Saccharomyces cerevisiae S288C: one gene and its partners. The protein of the gene in region 2 binds, or shares a complex with, the protein of the main gene of each other region. Each region holds a gene or a part of one and is shown on either strand. Other genes may lie near its edges.

The links.
Region 1: NUP145 (region 2) and GLE1 share a complex: the UniProt entries of both Saccharomyces cerevisiae proteins name them as parts of the nuclear pore complex.
Region 3: NUP145 (region 2) and NUP100 share a complex: the UniProt entries of both Saccharomyces cerevisiae proteins name them as parts of the nuclear pore complex.

What each region holds. Positions count from the first base shown.
Region 1 is NC_001136.10:86,635-92,264, reverse strand, and holds GLE1 (nucleoporin GLE1), read right to left. Parts: upstream 4,018-5,630; coding exon 2,401-4,017; downstream 1-2,400. Other genes in the region: YCX1 (Ycx1p), read right to left, coding at 1-2,089; snoRNA-binding protein NHP2, read right to left, coding at 4,283-4,753; active spliceosome conformation promoter CWC2, read left to right, coding at 5,039-5,630. UniProt on the Saccharomyces cerevisiae protein: Functions as a component of the nuclear pore complex (NPC).
Region 2 is NC_001139.9:336,088-346,159, reverse strand, and holds NUP145 (nucleocytoplasmic transporter NUP145), read right to left. Parts: upstream 8,255-10,072; coding exon 4,301-8,254; downstream 1-4,300. Other genes in the region: YGL088W (uncharacterized protein), read right to left, coding at 1-324; MF(ALPHA)2 (Mf(Alpha)2p), read left to right, coding at 1,007-1,369; LIF1 (Lif1p), read right to left, coding at 1,576-2,841; NBP35 (Fe-S cluster-binding ATPase), read left to right, coding at 3,118-4,104; kinetochore-microtubule binding complex subunit SPC105, read right to left, coding at 8,521-10,072. UniProt on the Saccharomyces cerevisiae protein: Functions as a component of the nuclear pore complex (NPC).
Region 3 is NC_001143.9:308,634-315,478, forward strand, and holds NUP100 (FG-nucleoporin NUP100), read left to right. Parts: upstream 1-1,565; coding exon 1,566-4,445; downstream 4,446-6,845. Other genes in the region: YKL068W-A (uncharacterized protein), read left to right, coding at 573-809; YNK1 (nucleoside diphosphate kinase), read left to right, coding at 6,179-6,640. UniProt on the Saccharomyces cerevisiae protein: Functions as a component of the nuclear pore complex (NPC).

The sequences.
Region 1 (5,630 bases), on a different chromosome or scaffold from region 2:
TATTACTATCTCTGCCACTCACTATTTTTCCAGTTTTGTCGCCTAGCATTATCATAATTCCATCAAATCCGACGCCAAATAAGAAATATAAAAGTGGACTGCCAAAACAAGCTCCTATCGCGATTTCTAAAACACCTATTTTGACGAATGTAATATTTGACACTAAATCACCAATCGAATTACCCCATGTAAAAATGGTTAAACCTAGTATTGTTTCCGATATATTAAACACATTTATCCAATGCGTTAACGTGACTACAATTATGTGGACAGCTTTCGAAAGACAGGCCAATGACAATAAAAATGCTACTGTAAAGATTATATCAGAGTTGAACTTGTTCGGTATGGTCCTAGTTTTAAAATATAATAAGATGGCTATCACCAGCGATAAGATGAGCAACCAAAATGAAAAGTTATTTGTGATGAGTTGGTTGAGAATTATTGGCGAAGCAATCAATTGAATATTCTGTAGGTATGAAAGGGGTAAGTCATGGTCTGTTTGACTTATCTCTGATGGTATTGAAAGATAAAGAATTATTGATACCGGCGTAGTGACTAATAATGACAAGAACTCAAAGAAACCAATTTCCAAGGACACATCTGTTAAGTAATTGTAAAGTTGGAAACTATGCCAAGCGGTTCTACTCTTTGTTGAACAGAGAGATAGTGTTCTATCGAGAATTATATCATCTCTCTCATACTGTAAGAGAGAGTTGTCGATAACATCTGATATGCTGTTCAAGGCATTGGTAGATTCCTGTGTACGTGTAGCCTCGTCATTTAATATAATATTATTACTCCGGACCAAGTTTGGAATGCGATCGCAGCTTAATGATTTCTTGGAGGTTTTTTTTTGTGGCACAGTCAAAAACAAACTTGTGGGTTCATTATAGTAAGTTTGATACTCGTTTTGGGGAGCAGAGATTGCAGTATCCAGCGCATTTGAATTTTCCCCATTCCGTAGGGACAAATATTTGTAAAAATCCTTAGGTTGTAATGAATTCATCCTTTTTCTTATTAAAGGCCTCCCTTCTTCATCTAAAGAAGCTTTAGTAAATAAATGAGTATCATCGGAGGGTAAAGACAACGATTTTACTGTATTGTTAAAAAGATTCTGCTTCTCCCATATATTCAAAAGATCTTGTAACGTCATTCTTACCCAGCCATGATAATGCGACCGTAAATATCCCCGTATTCTACGTCTTATTAAATCCCTTCTTTCAGGTATACCTTGATTAAATCTCGAAATGTTATCCAGGGATTTACTTGGTAAACGAGTTGGATCTAAACTAATAGCGTTGTCCTCATCAATCTGTGTATCCCCCAAAGGCCTTACATATCTTATTCCATCGTCTGTGGATGTAATGTCACTGGTAGTCGTTAATGTAAATCGATTTGGAACAGTGATATGATTATTTGCAAGTACAGTTTTTTTTATTTCTACCTCTCTTTCTAAAGCATCATTGATTTCGCAGGGATATTTGTAGCTTTTTATTAAATAGACAGCACAACAGCAGTAGGTTAAAACCATGACAATACACTCCCAAAAGTACAGTCTTCCATCTGCTAGAAAAGTGCCCGAAACTAAGAGCATAAAAGTGAATATTCCGACATCCAATATATAATTGCTTCTATCATACGATAAATTTTGGTCAAAGCTTTCTTCTGTGTAAGTTTCAATAGACTTGTCATGTTGAAATTGAATAGTGGCTACGCAGCCCATTAGTCCAATCACAACGGTTAACAGAAAAAATATGCCACCAAATAACTCACCAATGGCCAAGGAAGTCACGCCAGATTTCATCGACTGGTAAGTACTAGTAATATCAGGAAGTGCATTCCCCAATGCTAATAAAGTCATGCCGGATACTCTATCGGAAATATGGAATATGTTACTGGAAATGTATGACAAAGATGGTGTTAAGCAGTCAGAGGTAACCACTCCTAGTAAAGAGAAGCATTCAATAAGTACAACAGAATGCAGATAAAATTCAGATATTGAGCCATTACTAGAAAGGGAATAGCCTATTAATATAACGTTCGAAACGTAGAAGGCTATCGTTATTAGCCATCTTAAAGGTTTATGCATCTGCTTTAAAAAATTTGATAAATGAAGAGTAGCATTTACAAATAAAGGTAAGGAGATAGGCGCCGGAAAAAGAATGAATATTCTGCTTGATCGAATAAGATATTATGAGCGGTAGTTCAAATGTCAATTTCACGTACGTATATTTGAGTGGGAGATTGTCTTAACTTTTCCCACTTACGGCTTAATATTCATGACGTATTTTCTGCCATCCCTTGATATCGAGCCGAAAATAAAACTAAAAATGGCGACGTTTAAAATAAAGTCATTATAAAGTGTATTAGCATAATGTGCATATATAAGTTCAGAATTTTCTAAGGAGACATTTCCGGAAAGGACTCCATATTATTATTTTGCCAGGCCTCTAATAAAATTCTTAATCTCGCAGCACCCACATATTTCTTTTCAGCCATTCTGGAGGTCAATTCCTCACCAATCAAGATTAGCAATTTAGAGGCTTGGTTCCCATACGCCTGAAGAAACTGTACGGCAGCGGCATCCCACCACGAACCGAGTATGACAAAATGGGTATTTGTTATTAAATTTAGTGGCGTATTACATATTCTAGCCAAAATATGCCACGATAATGCGATGGGGAAAGGATGACTCGTGGTGGTGATAAATTCTTGAGGTAACTGTAATCTCGTTATTATGGCAAATAATGATAAGATCCCGCCCATTCTCTCATCGTAGGATGTGTTATCTTCCCATTTATTCTCGTTGTTTCTTTTCCATCCCATGTTTTGACGGCCTTTTTCTGTGTCAATCTCACACGTGAATCCTATCACAAAGGGGCATTTCTTGACAAGTCTTGCCATAAACAATTCCTGTAACTCTGGGAATTGGACTAACAAATATAAAGTCAATTTCCCTAGGGGCAGAGCAGACTCTGGTTTTACCCTGACTTCTGTTTCCGCCTGATGTACTACGGCTTTGGCAATAAAGTTTAAAATCCAATGATATGCTAGAGAGTCGCCTTTAGTATCATTTATCAATTGAGTTAGTTCATTCTGTATTTTAAAAAGTTGCTGGTTGCTATTAGTTAATTGTCCGAATTTCGGGTTAATTTTCCTTTTATGACGTGAGAGCAAATTCCTTACATTCACATCAGCTTTTTTTATAGGCAGAACTATGTCTTGCTTTATTTGAGCAATTTTGTCTTTATAATGCCAAAACATTTTGGAGATTTTATCAAAGTTTGTAACTGCTTTACCCAATTTATCCTTCTGCTGCAATAATTTGGCTTCATGTTCTTTTTTCAATTGTCTTTCCTTTTCATTCTGTTCTTCTATTTTCTTCCTTTCTTCTTCTTGTTTCTGCTGCGCTAGCTTTGCTTCAGCTTCTTTGCGTTTACGTTCTTCTTCATCCTTCTTTTGACGTAATAATTCCTGCTCCCGCTTGGCCTTTTCCTCAGCTTCCTTACGTTTGCGCTCTTCCTCCTCTTTTCGCTTACGTTGCTCTTCAACACGACGTTTATTTTCTCTAATAGATTGAATTTCTTTCTGATTGGCAAGCACCAAGTTTTGCATTTTCCTTTGAAAAGATTCTTCTATTGCCTCGAGTAAGGGTGCTGTCGCATTTGAGTTCTTAGCATTATCTAGCAATGACGAATGCGATGCTCTCGGTAGTGGCATATTGGTTGAATGCGGTACTATTATCGATGACGCGGCTACAATGGGCTCATTAATGGGGATCAGTTTCGATTGAAGGTTCAAATCGCGCAAGGCGTTTTCTAGAGCAGGATCTAAAATAACTACCGACTCATTTACCAATTTCTTCGTGCCAACTTTCGTGAATGAAGGTAACTTTATTGCTGGGCTCGGCTCAGGTGTAGGGCATTGCGATGACGTAGAAGATGTTGTAGAACATGTTTCCTCAAATTCTGGAGAATCAGTATCTGAATTGAAAACCTCATCGAACACAAATCTCATTCTTCGACTCTGCAGAATATCCTGTAGCAACGGCCCGCGATTCTCTTGTTATCAATTATATACCTATTTCTTTGATGATATTTTCATTAAACATACAAAAAGTGGAACAGTAGAACGAAGCCCGGTTACCCGAAAAGTCACAAACATTTGATGTTATTAGTAGTATTATATAATATACAGAAGGCCTACAGTCAAAATATATATCTAATGCCAGATTTTTTTTATTTCTTCTAGATTTCTAATATGGTTAAGAAGCGAACTTTTTTCATAAAGCTTGAACTTCTTTGACAACTTCGTTGAAAGATTCCTTGTATTCTTCTTCTTTATTTTTTCCATCTTTTTTCTTATTGCTACCTGGGACGATAAAGACAACTGAGGTAGGTCTTTTTGTAGCGCCAGCGGCACCTAAGTCTTGCTTTGAAGGTATGAAGATGTATGGGACAGAGTGATCTTCACATAAGACTGGGATGTGGGAAATAACATCAGCTGGAGAAATGTCACCGGCGATGACGACTAAACCTTTTTCACCCTTTCTTAAGGCCTTGACAACTTCCTTGACACCTCTTTTAACATTCTTGGCCTTGGAAGCCTTCTTCACGGTCTTCAAGACCTTCTTGTTTAGTTTCTTAGAGGCCAATGGTTTAGCGAATGGCAACACAGCAGGCATTCTGGCCTCATAGTTGTCTACGGTTTTGCTTTCTTTGCTTTCCTTATGTTCCTTGTTGTCTTTACCCATTTTTACTGCACTTGTTTCCGTTTCTCTGCTACCCAATGATCCATTGACCATTTACTACTACTATATCATGCATTCGTTTTTTACTTTTCTTTATTCCTCATCACTTTTTTTCAGAAAAATTTTTTTCAGTTTTTGAGCATTCCATCGTTACATACGTACATATGCGGGTAATGATGAAATTTTCCATTATGTATTGAAGGCTGGATCATAATAAAGACTACTGGCGATGGGCCTTAAGGTAGTAACGACGTTAGTAAGACAGTATACGCATTGATAGAAATTTGGATGACATCTTGGAGGGATAAATCCGCGAAAGTGCAAGTGAAGGAGTCAGAACTGCCCTCCTCTATACCGGCGCAGACTGGATTGACGTTTAATATATGGTATAATAAATGGTCCCAAGGGTTTGCGGGGAATACACGATTTGTTAGTCCATTTGCTTTGCAGCCGCAACTTCATTCTGGGAAGACTAGGGGCGATAATGATGGCCAGTTGTTCTTCTGTCTATTTTTTGCAAAGGGTATGTGTTGCCTTGGCCCTAAATGTGAATATCTGCATCATATACCAGACGAAGAAGATATAGGTAAACTGGCCCTGAGGACAGAGGTATTGGACTGTTTTGGTAGAGAAAAATTTGCTGACTATAGAGAGGATATGGGCGGGATCGGTTCATTTAGGAAGAAAAACAAGACATTGTATGTAGGTGGTATTGATGGAGCATTGAATAGCAAGCATTTGAAGCCAGCTCAGATAGAAAGCAGAATTCGATTTGTATTTTCTCGATTGGGTGATATTGATAGAATACGATACGTTGAGAGCAAAAACTGTGGATTTGTGAAGTTTAAATATCAAGCTAATGCAGAATTTGCCAAAGAAG
Region 2 (10,072 bases):
ACAGACGACAGAAAGACTGTTGCACCCAAGATCGATAAATTTGTTCTCCAGTCCAAGCCAATAATAAATATATTGCAACACCAATCCACATTCTTCATGGGTCAAGAACGCCCCGGAGGGGTTCAACCTCGACGAGATACTGTACGTGTTACGAATGGCTGTTAAATTTGCGTTACTGTTATAAAATAACACTAAAATAAGAAATGGAAAGTAAATAAATAGTAAAGGAAAGTCAAATAAAGCAATGAATGCTGCATTGATCTGCCTTTTATAGCTAAGAAAAAAAAAGAGAAAAAAATAATAAGTGCGGGTAACCTCATGCATTGTAAAACGGTAGGGCTACAAGGCACTACTTACTCTACGCTATAGAAGAAGCTTCAAGACATGGTGTTGTTCTTATTTGAGCGAACTCAGCTGTCACCGTTTCGGGAAACTCTATAGTTTTCTGCGTTTCAGTACGCAGTTGGGCGTGCTAAAGTTGTTTTCCTAATTTGCTAGTGTTCACTTGCTCATTGATGTCCCTAAAAGGTAATGTCGCATAGTAAGATGTATGTCCCATATCAAACGCATTCCTAGAAAAACATGCACTGAATGAATAAGCAGTTACTTCGATTACTAATCTTCACAGCATAATTTTTCTCTTATCTTGTAAACCTCTTTCTATCTTTTCATAAAGTTTGTCACTTATATTTCTTCATTGGTACATCAATGCCAGCAACGATGTGCGCATCTGGGCGACGCCTGTAGTGATTGTTTTCAAGGTATCGAGCCAAACTATTCATCGTTACTGTTTCAAATATTCAGTTGTTTCAGTACAGAGTCGCCGTGGACCTAGTGAAACTTGGTGTCTTTACAGCGCAGAGACGAGGGCTTATATGTATAAAAGCTGTCCTTGATTCTGGTGTAGTTTGAGGTGTCCTTCCTATATCTGTTTTTATATTCTATATAATGGATAATTACTACCATCACCTGCATCAAATTCCAGTAAATTCACATATTGGAGAAAATGAAATTCATTTCTACCTTTCTCACTTTTATTTTAGCGGCCGTTTCTGTCACTGCTAGTTCCGATGAAGATATCGCTCAGGTGCCAGCCGAGGCCATTATTGGATACTTGGATTTCGGAGGTGATCATGACATAGCTTTTTTACCATTCAGTAACGCTACCGCCAGTGGGCTATTGTTTATCAACACCACTATTGCTGAGGCGGCTGAAAAAGAGCAAAACACCACTTTGGCGAAAAGAGAGGCTGTTGCCGACGCTTGGCACTGGTTAAATTTGAGACCAGGCCAACCAATGTACAAGAGAGAGGCCAACGCTGATGCTTGGCACTGGTTGCAACTCAAGCCAGGCCAACCAATGTACTGAAAAATGACCCTAAACTACTTCTAAACCCTCTCGATTTCTTTCACGTTCATACAACACCTAGTTTTATTTATTTTCTTTTCAATCTGAGTAGTTGAGTTTTCGATCACTCACATAGAACTATTTTTTGCCATTTAAATAAAGTATTCTCTCAAATGATGCGATACTATAATACTCTTTGCCATATATTACATTCATTCATAAATAGGCTATGTTTCTATATCCGTTTCCGATTCTGTCTGCAAGCAAGGTTCCCTATCATTACCGGATTGTTCACTATGGTTGGAGCTCTTCTTTTCCCCTGCACTTGCATCAGTCTCAGATTCAGAACCAGAAATGTCTCCGTAATCTTCATCCGATCTTCCTGCTGATATTTGAATACCATTGTCTTCTAAAGACACTAAATGTTTTTGAACATCACTGCTACTATCAGATTCAAAACTTATTGATTGTGTGTCATCTCCAAAAGAGGTAATATCATCGTACTTTTCACTGAGTTTATCTTTAGCAGTAATAATTGGCCTTTTAGAAAGTCCGAAAAATTGAAAGTCATCAAAATCGTCGTCTTCCATTTTGATCACGGATTGATTAGATATTTTTCTATTAGCTCTCCTCCGACTTGTGTCTTTCAACTTCTTTTGTAAATTTTGAGGCTCTACTACCGTCTTTCTTCGTTTCATTCTTTTTCCTGGAGAGTTTAACTCAGAAATTGGCTTTTGCACTTCCGTATTAATAAGCGCAGAATCTAAAACATCATCGTCAGACAATTTGATATTATTTTGTCGCAGAATCTCATGAAGCTCTCTTATTTTCTTCTTCTTCTCATTCAACAAGGTTACCATCATTGCTCTGGTTCTTTCATCACGTGTTTCTAAAAGCTTATCCAATAGCTCCCTTTCCCGAGCCAGCTGTTCAACTCGATTTCTATTGCTAGAATCGCTCTCCTTTATATTCCGGTAAGAATCGTTAACACAACAGATATCTTTATAGAGTTTATCTGCCATTTCAAATAAATCAATCTCTCCCTTTTTGACTGGATGCAAGGTAAGTTCAGCGATTTTTCTTATGATCGCCGATGACTCCAACTCCATAACTACTTTCCATACCTCATCATCTTGCATTCTGCACGTCCATTTTGTGAATACGACTTTTTCGTCTAACGATGCAATGTACACTTTGTGACCAGTTAACATTTTGAGTAGTTCATACCACACATATTTCTTAGACTCTTCATCGATATTTTCTCCCGTAAAGATTCGCAAATCATTGATTCCAAAACTGCTTTTGGAAAAAATTCCTGTACCTTCACTTACCAACATTTTCTCTATTCTAAGCCCTGAAAGACTGTTCTCATCTAATGTTTCCAACATAGCGCCATCTTCAATCTGAATCTTACAGAGGCCACGCTCATCTTCTTCATTTTGTTCTTCATTAACCACAGGGATACAGCTAATGAACTCCGTCAGCTGGGACATAGCACCCTACATAAATAAGTCATCCAATGCACAATTCTCTCAGTTCTATGCATTGACACGTCGAAAACTGCCGTTCATCTTATTATTCTTTAATATGGCTTTTCAAAATACGCTTCCGGGTACTTTTTCGGATTCATTAATGGTGTAATTAGTAATGCGTAGAAATATTTTGTATATAATAATAAATAACATGTTTGTCCAACAACTCGTAGGCTAGGCTAAACGTGAAGTCTTTCTGTTTTTGAGAACAACAGTATACATAAGTGATATCCAAGAATGACTGAGATACTACCACATGTAAACGACGAAGTGCTACCAGCAGAGTATGAACTTAATCAGCCGGAACCAGAACACTGTCCTGGTCCAGAATCAGACATGGCAGGTAAGTCCGATGCTTGTGGTGGCTGCGCCAATAAAGAAATATGTGAAAGTCTTCCGAAAGGCCCTGATCCAGATATTCCATTGATCACAGATAACTTGTCAGGAATAGAACATAAAATATTGGTTTTATCAGGCAAAGGTGGCGTAGGCAAGTCGACATTTGCCGCAATGCTAAGTTGGGCACTTTCAGCTGACGAAGATTTACAAGTAGGTGCCATGGATTTAGATATATGTGGACCTTCTTTGCCACATATGTTAGGCTGCATTAAAGAAACCGTCCATGAATCGAACTCCGGTTGGACACCTGTCTATGTGACTGATAATTTAGCCACCATGTCTATTCAATATATGCTTCCAGAAGACGATTCCGCCATTATATGGAGGGGTTCAAAAAAGAATTTATTGATAAAAAAATTTTTAAAGGATGTTGATTGGGATAAACTCGATTACTTGGTAATCGACACACCGCCCGGAACATCTGATGAGCACATTTCAATAAACAAGTATATGAGAGAATCTGGCATAGATGGTGCCCTTGTGGTCACCACACCTCAGGAAGTAGCTTTATTAGATGTACGGAAAGAGATAGATTTCTGTAAGAAGGCTGGTATCAATATTCTTGGACTAGTGGAAAATATGAGCGGATTTGTATGTCCAAATTGCAAAGGAGAGTCCCAAATATTCAAGGCTACCACAGGTGGAGGTGAAGCACTTTGTAAGGAATTGGGCATCAAATTTTTGGGGTCTGTTCCGTTAGATCCGAGGATTGGCAAGAGTTGTGACATGGGTGAAAGTTTCCTGGATAACTATCCTGACAGCCCAGCTTCGAGTGCTGTACTTAACGTTGTGGAGGCTCTGCGAGATGCTGTGGGGGATGTATAGTATATTTTATCAAAAAGAATAAAAGGAAGTGCATTAGAGGTCAAATCGTTTTATAATATAAATATCATTACCTTTAAATCTTAGACCTACTGAAGAACACTTTTACCATATATAATGCTACTAATTACTCCAAAAGCGTTAGCTTCAGTCCATGTTTTACTATTTTTCTTTTTTTTAGAAATAAAAATAAAAAAACTTATATCTTATATGTACACTTCATTAAATCCTGGGCAAACTCACCCCTCAAGTATGCCTTTTCTGGCTGCCCTAGGGGGAGCTCAAGCAATTTGGCCTTCGAATCGCCTATTGAAGGATTGTTTTTCTCCAATATTTTTGATACAATCTCTTGGGACATAACATTACAACATGCGGCCACTTCACGACAGTGCTTATACTGATCATAAAATATCTTCATACCACTAATTAATGAATCGATAGTCTCCTGCGTTTCAACATTATCCAACACAAGCTTTAGATATACTTCAAATACGTTTATACTTACACTCCATTTGTCCCTCTCAGAGTCTGGAAATTCGTTAAGAATTTCCCTCAAAGTTTTCAGTTCATTATTCTGTACAGGATTGTTTGATAACAACAGCCTTGGTCCTAATGACGTAACAATAGCCATTTCTGCCAAATCATAAGACGAACCCAGGAGTAGATTTTGTACTTCAGAAAGGTAATTGCCTTCATATCTATCTTTCAAAGCTTGAGCATTGAATATCAATTGCGAAGGGATCTTTAATCTATTTAAAATGTGATCATTGGTAGAGGCTCTTAACAATGTTATTTCACGCATAACAAGCCTTTTTATGGTATCTTCTGCTGCCTTGTCATCATTTAAAAAGCAAGAAACAAAAAGAGAGTGGCCATGTAATTGTGCAAATTCAAGTTGAGCGGCAAATGCGAATGTAGCCTCATCGCTAGTTTCCTTCGAAAAAACGCGTGTTCCATTAAATCTCAATGTTTGAATCAAGTACCAGCAAAACTGAACATCTAAAGCGTTGGTTCTTTGTCTAACCTCCTTATAGAGCTTCTCCGTATTTTCATTAGCAGCATATAGTTGGAAAATAACTCCAATAGGATCATCATAGGGTAAAGAAAACTTGTCTAAATGCGATTGCACAAGAGATTCTAAGGAATACTCATCTATCTGGCCGTAGCACAGTGTCAAATTCAAAAGGCACAACCAACTGAATTCACTTTCAAGTTCCTTAAGAGAAAATAAACCTTCAAAAGGTGAACCGCTTAGTAATTTGTAAATCTTCGAGATATTCTTGTCGATACTACAACCACCAGTTGACCACTTTTGCAATTGTAATTCCGCTAAATCACGTATCCTTGGGTCGTTTGAACCCAAATAGGATATCAAAACGCTCAAATGACCATTCTTAGACTCAATTGCTAACTTGGATGCCCTTACGACATCATTCAAGAGCAAATATAGAAATATTTGTTCTATTTCGTTAGAAGAATTCCTAATTTTCTCTTCAATTTCCGGACCTATCTGGCTAACAATCCACGAAGTTAATCGACAATGCCTTTCTTTTTTTAATAATGCCATTTTTACTTGATCATTGTCCGTCTTGTATGGATAGGAAACGGGGTCGAATAAAATAGATGAAAGTTTCCATAGATTGTAATCACTAGAGGTTTTTTCCATATAATCTAAAGCATCTTTAAAGAGTAAAGAGCTTTCACTAATTTGTGGGTATGGGTTTGACTTCCTTGCTTCGATAGTAACCTTTTCAATTTCTTTATCTAAATAGACGTCATCGAATAAAAATTTTCTTTGCAACTCAGTTGGTAAACGCTTAATTGAAACGCCCGATTTACCAACAATATCTTTTGTCAGTAGCATTGAACCTGTTGAAAATTTTGCAAACGTATAAGAGGCTGTAAATCTTCTTTCCTTCATGATGAGTTTTGCGTTATCAATTTCATCATTGCATTCGGAAAAGAGTAAATCTATTTCATTTTGACATGGCCCGTCAAATTCTTTAGAAGTGGCAAACACAGAACGTAGTGAAGACCCAGCTAAAATTAATTGTTCTACCCAATCCTTAGAAACGTCAAGTTTAGGGGAAGCTTCAATTCCCTCAAAGTCCGCATCAGACAAATCAGGTTCGTATGCCTTTTCCTCAACGATAGAGTCGTCTTTACCTGATAGAGTTCCAAAAGTGCCATCTGTTTTGAGGATAACCTCTTTATCCGATGGTTTTGATTGCGCTAACGTGCGCACCTTTCTTAATGGTTGCTCACCGCCGTCTTCTTGTTTACTCAAATCGTCTTCATCTATTTCCGCATCTTCTTCATTGACTAACCCCCAAATGCTAAAATGATTGACTTTGAAAGTCCAAGTCCCGCCAAAGGGATTATAGGATATATAGTTCATTTCCCTCATGCTTCTTAGTTTCCTGTCAAAAACTTGAAATTCAGCAAACTTCGTCGTATCTTTCATCGGTTTTTTTGTTTTTTTATCTACAGGATAAACATTCTCTAGAGTGATTATAGCGGGAACGTTTAACCCATGCCCAATCATTGGTTTGGTGGCTTCGTCAGGATATACTTCTACTGTCTTAGAGGAACGAAATATTACAATTTTACCGAATAGTTCTTCTCTAAAGCTTTTGGTAAAAGCTGTGAGATCCACATCATGTTGAAATGTAATACAACCATAACCTCTTCTCCCGATAACAAAATTTGAAACGGCCGCTAATTGCTTCAATGACAAACGCTCCAGCTGTTCTGGGGAAGGAGAACACCAATAACCAAAACTTGATGACTTTTCATGTTGTAAAGTATTTTCGCCGTCTTGTTTATTCAAGTTATTCGATTGCTCCTTTCCATTCAAATAAGTGTTATCCAAATTATTATCTCTATTTTCTTTCCTGTCAATGTTAGTGACACTATCAGCATTTGCAATTGGCTCATTTTCCGATGAATCTTGTTCGTCTTGCATATGTTTTTTTGTGATGGCGGGAGTACCAGAGAGGAGTTTTAATTTTTTTGCAGCACTTCTGTTGGAATCAATTTTCAATTTACGCAGCTCTGTCAAGTCGGCCCTTTGGGAGGATAGGAAATTAAAACCATTCTGAGGAAAGATGCTGTTTTCATTTGGAGCCAAAGAAGTCATCTTTGAAGAAAAAAAGTCATCTACTAAGGGAGCTGAACCTGCTCCATTCAGCCACGGTTTACTGTAAGACGGTGAAAATATTTCATTCGGTGACGTGCTTTTCTGAGTGGCTTTCAGTCTCGTGCTTAGTCTACTCACTAAACTTGACTGTGAGGCGAGTGGTAAAGGAGCGTTCCCTGAAACTGAGGAAGAAAACGAATATGTTCTTCTATTTTCAATTGGTTTGGGTTCCGCATCTGACTTGCCATTCACATCTGATAGAGAAGACGTAATAGATCTTGGCATGTCAGCCACTGCCATAGGAACATTACTTATGTTAATTCCATATGGGTTGGTTGACATGGTTCCAGTAGTTTCACCGGATCTTGGGAATGAAGCACCATTATTTCCAAACAATCCCCCAGTTGTTGAAGCTCCCGGCTTTTGACCAAAAATACCTGTAGAACTTTGTGTATTATTTGATCCAAATAATCCTGTCGTTGAGTTTGTCGATGAGGAATTTCCAAACAGGCCGCCAGCACCAGCAGGGGTTGTAGTAGGCTTACCGAACAGACCACCATTTTGCGTGGTAGAAGTTATATTGTTATTGTTGCTATTACCAAACAAACCACCATTTTGGGTACTAGAGGCTATATTATTGCTACCACTGAATAAACCTGTAGAGCCCGTAGAATTTGCTGTGGCATTATTATTTCCGAATAAGCTTCCGGCACTTTTAGAAGTAGTATTGTTTGTAGCGCCAAATAAGCCACCTGATGGTTGTGCTGGTTTATTTCCAAATAATGAATTATTGGCGGGTTGTTGACTTATAGAATTAGCGTTTGAATTGGCATTGAATAATCCACCAGATGGGCTAGGTGTTGAAGTATTCGCATTAACATTAACGTTCCCAAATAACCCAGTAGATTTTTGAGGGAATTGAAGGGAACTGGAAGGCTGTGCCGGAGTGGATGTCGGTGTGGATGTGTTTTGGTTTCCAAAGGTGAAACCACTATTTACACTTTTATTAAACATAAGGTGGCTACTGCTTCTCCTTTGCTTGTGGTTCTAAAAAGCAATAATAATTGTGATAGGTAACAGGAAACAACAAACGAGTTAATTCTTTCTAATTTTTTATCTTTCCAATGGTGATGTGATTGTTGTTTTTGTCCAAAATTTTTTCGAGCTTTTCTTCAAATTGTTTGAACTTTCCTGCCGGCGGGGCAGTTAAAAATCTTTCGTCAAAAACTAAAAAAAAGTGATGAGATATTACTAGTCATCGTTGTCCTATTATAAACACTTTACGTAAACTCTAAATGTATTCTACTTTTCGTAAATGAAGGAAGAACTCCACTGATCTTGTGGGTTATCCTGTCAGAGAGGACTTCCCGTGACGGTGAGTAATCTTGTTGAGTACTTATGTGAACTTTCATTGGAATTTGCCCATTTTCCGAGAATACGCCCTGAGCAAATGAGACAAGGGATATAACGTAAAAAAATGCAGTCTTGTTTCTTCTATCATAATCCTTGAACTGCAAAAGCGCTTCCTCTTCCTCAGTTTGAGTAATTTTCACCGGAAACAAGAGCTTTAGTAATTTTATATACTTCAATAATGGTCTCCACTTTTTCATAGCAAAAAAAAGGTTCGAAAGCATGCTATCTTGATGTTCGGCTTCAACATTCTTCAACAACATTGTGAATAAGTGGTAACTCATATCGTCATTATTGCTGTCATTCATAACTTTCATAGAACTTAACGGATTATTTTTAAAGTTTGCTAGATTAATATCCACTCTCAAATCATCCAGTTGAAGAAATGCAATTGAAAGTGTTGCCTTTGAGAATTTCAGAAAGCGTACCCCCGTTAATGACTCCAAAATTTTGAGAGTATCTCGTAATTTTGGCAAGTCAAACCGTGTGAACAGTTTTCGTTTTTCAATTTTCTTGTCTATAGAGGCGACTTCACTTCTTAAAGTTAGTATATCATTAGATTTTTTTGCAATAGCTAATTTAAGTGAACGCATTTCTTGGGTAAAATCATTGGAAGAACTCAACGATATGGAATGTTCCATTAACTCTTGTTTGAAAGCCTCAATTTTTATTCTATTCATTAAAGTAGGCTTATAAGAATCGGATGGTAAGTTTTTTAGGGACCTTATCTCTTCCTTTATTGCTTCATTAAGTTTTCGTATTTTGCCTCTGATGCTGTTAACTTTTTCAACTTCTTCGTTTAATTTTTCGTACTCCCTTTTCAAGGTATTCAAATTTTCTGCCAAAATTAATTCCAGACCATTTAGTTGCTTTTTCCTCCATTCATACCATTCCATTGCTGCCTCCAATTTCGAATATCCTTTGACCAACTGTAGCTGGTCCCTCATCAATTGCTTCATTTTCTCATCCGAGGAAAAATACTCCTGGAGCAGAAGAGGGGGATGGGATTTATCAATTTGGGCCTCAAAGTCCTTGAATTTATCCTTGGATTCATTAATACTTCTCCAAAGCTCCTTGCATCTGAATGCTTCCACTTCTAAAATGGGTATATCGATATAGAAGGCAGAAAATACGTTATCTATCCTTTGATTCTCCACAAAATTAAAGCTGTTAAGCGGGAAATTGACCTTCTTGTCGAGATCATCTATCAGTTTGGTATCTAAAAACCCTACCCCCACTTCATTTATAAATTCCCGCAAAGTGTAGTCTTGAGTAGGCAGGGCTATACCAGACTGCCCTTCCTTGTCTATTTCGGGGAGTCTTGTTTTCTCAACTATTTTGTTCCCGTTATCATCGACATTTTCCCCATCTTCTTCATCGTCTGTCGCGGTTTGCATGCCAGTATCCTCAGTACCGGGTTCA
Region 3 (6,845 bases), on a different chromosome or scaffold from region 2:
ATTATCAAGCTCGCCACTAAAGGTGTCTGGATCCTTACTCAATACAAAGTCCAAGGAAAGGTGTGCCACAGGAAGAGGTAGCATCCCTTTATTTCTTTTCAAGGAAAGAAGCATTTTCAATCACATATGTATACAATAGTCTTCCGTGTGGCTGCACCGCACCACCTTGCAGGTCCCGTGTATGTAGGAGTCGCATGCGAATAAAAAATTGAGAAAGATCATGGGGTTTTTTGTTCACGCGGGCCGCAGTTGTGGCTCCTCTGTCACTTTTTTGCCCTCTGCTAAGGGCAAAAAAGAAAAAAAAACGCAACGAGAAAATTAAAAGTGTGGCATTTCGACATCTATCGCCATTCGTGCGGCCATTTCTCGAAACAACGCTAAACTTTTGTTTCGACTGTGAGGCCCTAGAACAGTTCGATTCTGATGTAGGCAATGGAAGAAACAATCATATATAACTACAGAACCTAATGTTACATGCTTGCATCTCTCAGCTCCCGCGAATTTTCAAGTGAGACTTAATGGTAGCCATCTAGTAACTCATAAATCAACGACATTATATATCATCAACTACAATGCAGGCAAACCATTCCGTCAGTTACCTTTACGAATCAAGTACTTCAAAGAGGTCAAATGGGCTCTTTTCTCAAACACAAAAGCAAGGAAGTTTTCAAAAAGCTTTAAGTCAAACTCAGGAAGAAATAGAAGATGAAGACCTGATGGTAGACCTCAACACAGGATCTTTAACTCCCGTTAAGTTAAAATATTGGACTCAAATGAGTGCTATGACGGAAAAATTTGGTAAACTGTGAGACCAATTTTGGCGGTAATTTCGTTTAGCTGTTTTATTTTCACATTTTTAATTGTCAATGCTGGAGGTTGTTAAAGTTTGGCTAGCTGTTCTGAACAATCCTTGTATACCGGTGAGACTTTTTGTTATAGATATTGGCGATATTCATTTTTTAGGAAGGTGTTTTTATAGATTTTTCAATTTTTTTTGTGTAGATGCATGTTTTGATTACTTATGCATAGTACGAATTTTTAGTTTATTAAGCTATAGAGGTTTTTTTTTTTTTCACCTCTTTACCACAAATTTAATAGCTATTGTGTAGAATAACTTTTAATGGAAAACATTTGCAGTATTTTAGTATTTTTCTACCTGTTTATTGCAAGTAAGGGCAGCATTATCCTGATAGGAGTAGAGGTTAACCGCACATCGGAATGAGACTTCTCCAAGAACGTTCTCAAAGTAAAACATTTAGCATTAGGAAATTTCTTTGGTCGATTATTAGACAAAGATTAGATTGTATTATGTTCTGATGCTTAGTTAGAACGGAAAGTGTTACCCATCTTGCAATCACCGTGACACCTTAAATATTTGCCGTAAGCGAAGAAAAAAAGCATGAAAAAAAAAAGCATATTTATGCTGAAGTCATCTACAAATGACCACCGCTTTTGGACCTGAAGAGGAGAAGAAAATAACATATCGTAGAACAGTCTTTGTTAACCAAAATATTTTAGCTTTGATTCCGGACTATTAGTACATTGAATTTTTTCAGGTACTAACAATGTTTGGCAACAATAGACCAATGTTTGGAGGGAGCAACCTTTCCTTTGGATCAAATACGTCATCCTTCGGTGGGCAACAATCGCAACAACCAAACTCTCTTTTTGGAAATAGCAATAACAACAACAATTCCACCAGTAACAATGCCCAATCAGGATTTGGTGGATTCACTTCTGCCGCTGGCAGTAATAGTAACAGTTTATTTGGAAATAACAATACTCAAAATAATGGGGCATTTGGCCAGTCAATGGGTGCCACCCAAAACTCACCATTTGGGTCGTTAAACTCCTCAAATGCCAGTAATGGGAACACTTTTGGAGGATCCAGTTCAATGGGTTCTTTTGGTGGTAATACCAATAATGCATTTAATAATAACAGTAACAGTACCAATTCCCCGTTTGGTTTCAATAAACCGAATACAGGAGGGACCTTGTTTGGTTCGCAGAATAATAATAGTGCAGGTACTTCTAGTTTATTTGGCGGCCAAAGTACAAGTACCACTGGCACATTCGGAAACACCGGAAGTAGTTTCGGAACAGGCTTAAATGGCAACGGCTCTAACATATTTGGGGCAGGGAACAACTCACAAAGCAATACTACCGGCAGCTTGTTTGGCAACCAACAATCTTCAGCGTTTGGGACAAATAATCAACAAGGAAGTCTATTTGGACAGCAATCTCAAAACACCAATAATGCGTTTGGTAATCAAAATCAGCTGGGGGGCAGTTCCTTCGGATCAAAACCAGTTGGTTCAGGGTCGCTGTTTGGCCAGAGCAACAACACTTTAGGTAATACAACCAATAATAGAAATGGATTGTTTGGTCAAATGAATTCCAGTAACCAAGGCAGTTCTAACAGTGGATTGTTTGGACAAAACTCGATGAACAGCAGCACTCAAGGGGTATTTGGACAAAACAATAATCAAATGCAAATTAATGGCAATAACAACAACAGTTTATTTGGAAAGGCAAACACCTTTTCAAATTCCGCATCAGGAGGTTTATTTGGCCAAAATAATCAACAGCAAGGGTCCGGGCTGTTTGGTCAAAATTCTCAGACAAGCGGTAGTAGTGGACTTTTTGGGCAGAATAATCAGAAACAGCCCAATACTTTTACCCAATCTAATACAGGAATAGGTCTCTTTGGACAGAACAACAACCAGCAACAACAATCTACAGGTTTGTTTGGAGCCAAACCAGCAGGTACCACAGGATCTCTTTTCGGTGGTAATTCATCAACCCAGCCTAACTCTCTTTTCGGTACTACCAATGTACCTACCTCTAATACACAGTCACAACAAGGAAATAGTCTTTTTGGTGCCACGAAGCTGACCAACATGCCCTTTGGAGGAAATCCCACTGCAAACCAGTCAGGGAGTGGAAACAGTCTATTCGGAACTAAACCTGCCTCCACTACCGGCTCATTATTTGGAAACAACACAGCTTCTACGACAGTACCTTCCACGAATGGATTGTTTGGTAACAACGCTAACAATTCAACTAGCACTACGAATACGGGACTTTTCGGTGCAAAGCCTGATTCTCAGTCCAAACCTGCATTAGGGGGAGGGTTATTCGGCAATTCAAACTCGAATTCTTCCACAATCGGCCAAAACAAACCAGTTTTTGGAGGCACAACCCAAAATACAGGACTCTTTGGCGCCACCGGCACGAACTCTTCAGCAGTTGGTTCAACTGGTAAACTTTTTGGCCAGAATAATAATACGCTTAATGTTGGTACACAAAATGTACCACCTGTGAACAATACCACCCAAAACGCCCTTTTGGGTACAACGGCAGTTCCTTCCCTACAACAAGCCCCAGTAACTAATGAACAGCTTTTTTCCAAAATATCAATCCCTAACTCTATTACAAATCCAGTTAAAGCAACAACTTCAAAAGTGAACGCAGATATGAAAAGAAATAGTAGCCTCACGTCTGCCTATAGACTTGCCCCAAAGCCGTTATTTGCTCCCTCTTCGAATGGCGATGCTAAATTTCAAAAGTGGGGCAAGACACTGGAAAGAAGTGATAGAGGAAGCAGTACCAGCAATTCTATTACGGACCCAGAATCAAGCTATCTAAATTCAAACGACTTGTTGTTTGATCCAGATAGAAGATATTTGAAACATCTGGTGATTAAAAATAATAAGAACTTAAATGTCATTAACCATAATGATGATGAAGCAAGCAAAGTTAAATTAGTGACGTTTACAACAGAATCAGCTTCAAAAGATGACCAAGCCTCATCAAGCATTGCTGCTTCAAAATTAACTGAAAAAGCACATTCTCCTCAGACTGACCTAAAAGATGATCATGATGAAAGCACTCCTGATCCTCAATCGAAATCTCCAAATGGTTCCACCTCTATACCAATGATTGAGAATGAAAAGATTAGCAGCAAAGTTCCCGGCCTATTGAGCAACGACGTTACCTTTTTCAAGAATAACTACTACATTTCACCTTCCATAGAAACGCTTGGCAATAAGTCATTAATTGAACTTCGTAAAATAAACAACCTAGTCATTGGTCACAGAAATTATGGTAAAGTCGAGTTTCTGGAGCCCGTTGATTTGTTGAATACTCCTTTGGATACTTTATGCGGGGATCTTGTCACCTTTGGACCAAAATCATGTTCAATATATGAAAACTGTTCCATAAAGCCAGAAAAGGGCGAAGGCATTAATGTACGTTGTAGAGTGACTTTATATTCCTGTTTTCCTATTGACAAAGAAACAAGGAAACCTATAAAGAATATAACACATCCTCTACTGAAAAGAAGTATAGCCAAACTAAAAGAAAACCCAGTGTACAAGTTTGAAAGCTATGACCCCGTAACAGGCACCTATAGTTACACCATAGATCACCCAGTTTTAACTTAAACCGGAATAATTTTTGTAGAGAATCCTTGTATCGTCTAAGTAGTCTAGATGTTCAGCTGATAGATTTTCGTTGTATTGTATATATAATAATTGTCGGAAAACAAAAATACTTAATTGTAATTGTGTGACCGAAAATGCCTGATCAACAGCCATGGCACATTTGAATGGGATTTTGAGGAGACAAAAATGAAGAGGTTCTATAACCTTTGTAGAAGAACATTGACCTCTTTTCAATGAAGGTTGGTGGCATCGCCAGATGCAGAAAGGTTGTCTCATGAAATAAAAACGGACAGACCATGAAGGCTAAAGGAAAAAAATAAAATGCCATCTCCTAGAATCGAACCAGGGTTTCATCGGCCACAACGATGTGTACTAACCACTATACTAAGATGGCAAACAACTGTGAAGTTTTTGGTTACATCTGCACATCTGGTTGAATAAATATTATGTACTCTTTGCTTTTTTATGTTAAACCTACAAGTGGTGACTGTAAAGAAGCATTACAACGTAGAACTGATAAAGGGGAGAAATATGTGAGTTGTTAGATAATTGTTGGGATTCCATTGCTGCTAAAGGCTATAATATTGGTATACAGAATATACTAGAAGTTCTCCTCGAGGATATAGGAATCCACAAAAGGGAATCGATAGTTCTACATAATGTTATTATTTTATCTTCCTTCCTTTTATATGTTGTCATTCATTATCCTATTACATTATCAATCCTTGCATTTCAGCTTCCATTAGATCGGATGACTGTTTCTCAATCTTTATGTCATCTTCTCACACCGCATGTGATAATATAATATTAAATAGATGATATTAGAGTTCAATTCCAACAAAAGGGGAGTAGTTACATAAGCTTTCCGTAATGGTGAATTTATAGCAGTTTCCTTCTCGATGAAAGGAAGGGAAAGAATTAAATATACTCGAATGCTTGTACCACTCCATTTCCCCATTTATCACATTTAAAGTTACGAGTAAAAAAGTGACCGATATAGAATGTCTGATGAAAGAGCAAATGAAAGAAACATCAAGAAAGCATATTGAAATTAGCAAGTGAAAGCAAAAAAAGTAGATGAGTAAGCATTATAATGCGTCCAGTCTGACTTTTTTGTTGGAATAAAAATCAACTATCATCTACTAACTAGTATTTACGTTGCTAGTATATTATCATATACGGTGTTAGAAGCTGGCGCAAATGATGAGAAATAGTCATCTAAATTAGTGGAAGCTGAAACGCAAGGATTGATAATGTAATAGGATCAATGAATGTTAACATATAAAACGATGATAATAATATTTATAGAATTGTGTAGAATTACAGATTCCCTTTTATGGATTCCTAAATCCTTGAGGAGAACTTCTAGTATATCTACATACCTAATATTATAGCCTTAATCACAATGGAATCCCAACAATTACATCAGAATCCACTGAGTCTTCATTTTTTCCTATTTTTTGAATTAATTTTTGTTCGTATCCATTGGGCTGGCGAGCAAGTCCATCAAATAAAAAGGCGCGTAATTCGCTTCGTTTCGTGTCTTCGAAAATGAAGACCAGTTTTCCTCCTTAAAAGTACTTTAATTCGGAGAGCCGATTATATAAAGTGAAAGACTTAGTACTTCGTTAGCTCATATCGTTTTCTTATTTTGAAATAGGTTATCTATAGAATACTTTATCAAGTTATCAGGTTCTTTCCGGAAAAACATCTCATAAATCATCCCTGGAAAAATGTCTAGTCAAACAGAAAGAACTTTTATTGCGGTAAAACCAGATGGTGTCCAGAGGGGCTTAGTATCTCAAATTCTATCTCGTTTTGAAAAAAAAGGTTACAAACTAGTTGCTATTAAATTAGTTAAAGCGGATGATAAATTACTAGAGCAACATTACGCAGAGCATGTTGGTAAACCATTTTTCCCAAAGATGGTATCCTTTATGAAGTCTGGTCCCATTTTGGCCACGGTCTGGGAGGGAAAAGATGTGGTTAGACAAGGAAGAACTATTCTTGGTGCTACTAATCCTTTGGGCAGTGCACCAGGTACCATTAGAGGTGATTTCGGTATTGACCTAGGCAGAAACGTCTGTCACGGCAGTGATTCTGTTGATAGCGCTGAACGTGAAATCAATTTGTGGTTTAAGAAGGAAGAGTTAGTTGATTGGGAATCTAATCAAGCTAAGTGGATTTATGAATGAATAACTTATGGCATGGGAGGGTACATATGAGCGCCTTTTTTTTCTCGCTTTGGGCAGCTCATATCATGTTCCCTCACTAGCTAATAATATAATGAATTTTTTAGAAGGAGCACGATTATATAAAAAAAATACCACTTATGTTGCTACCCTTATATACGAATTTATAATACTTAATGACGCTTCAATGACGCCTGATGTCAAATGC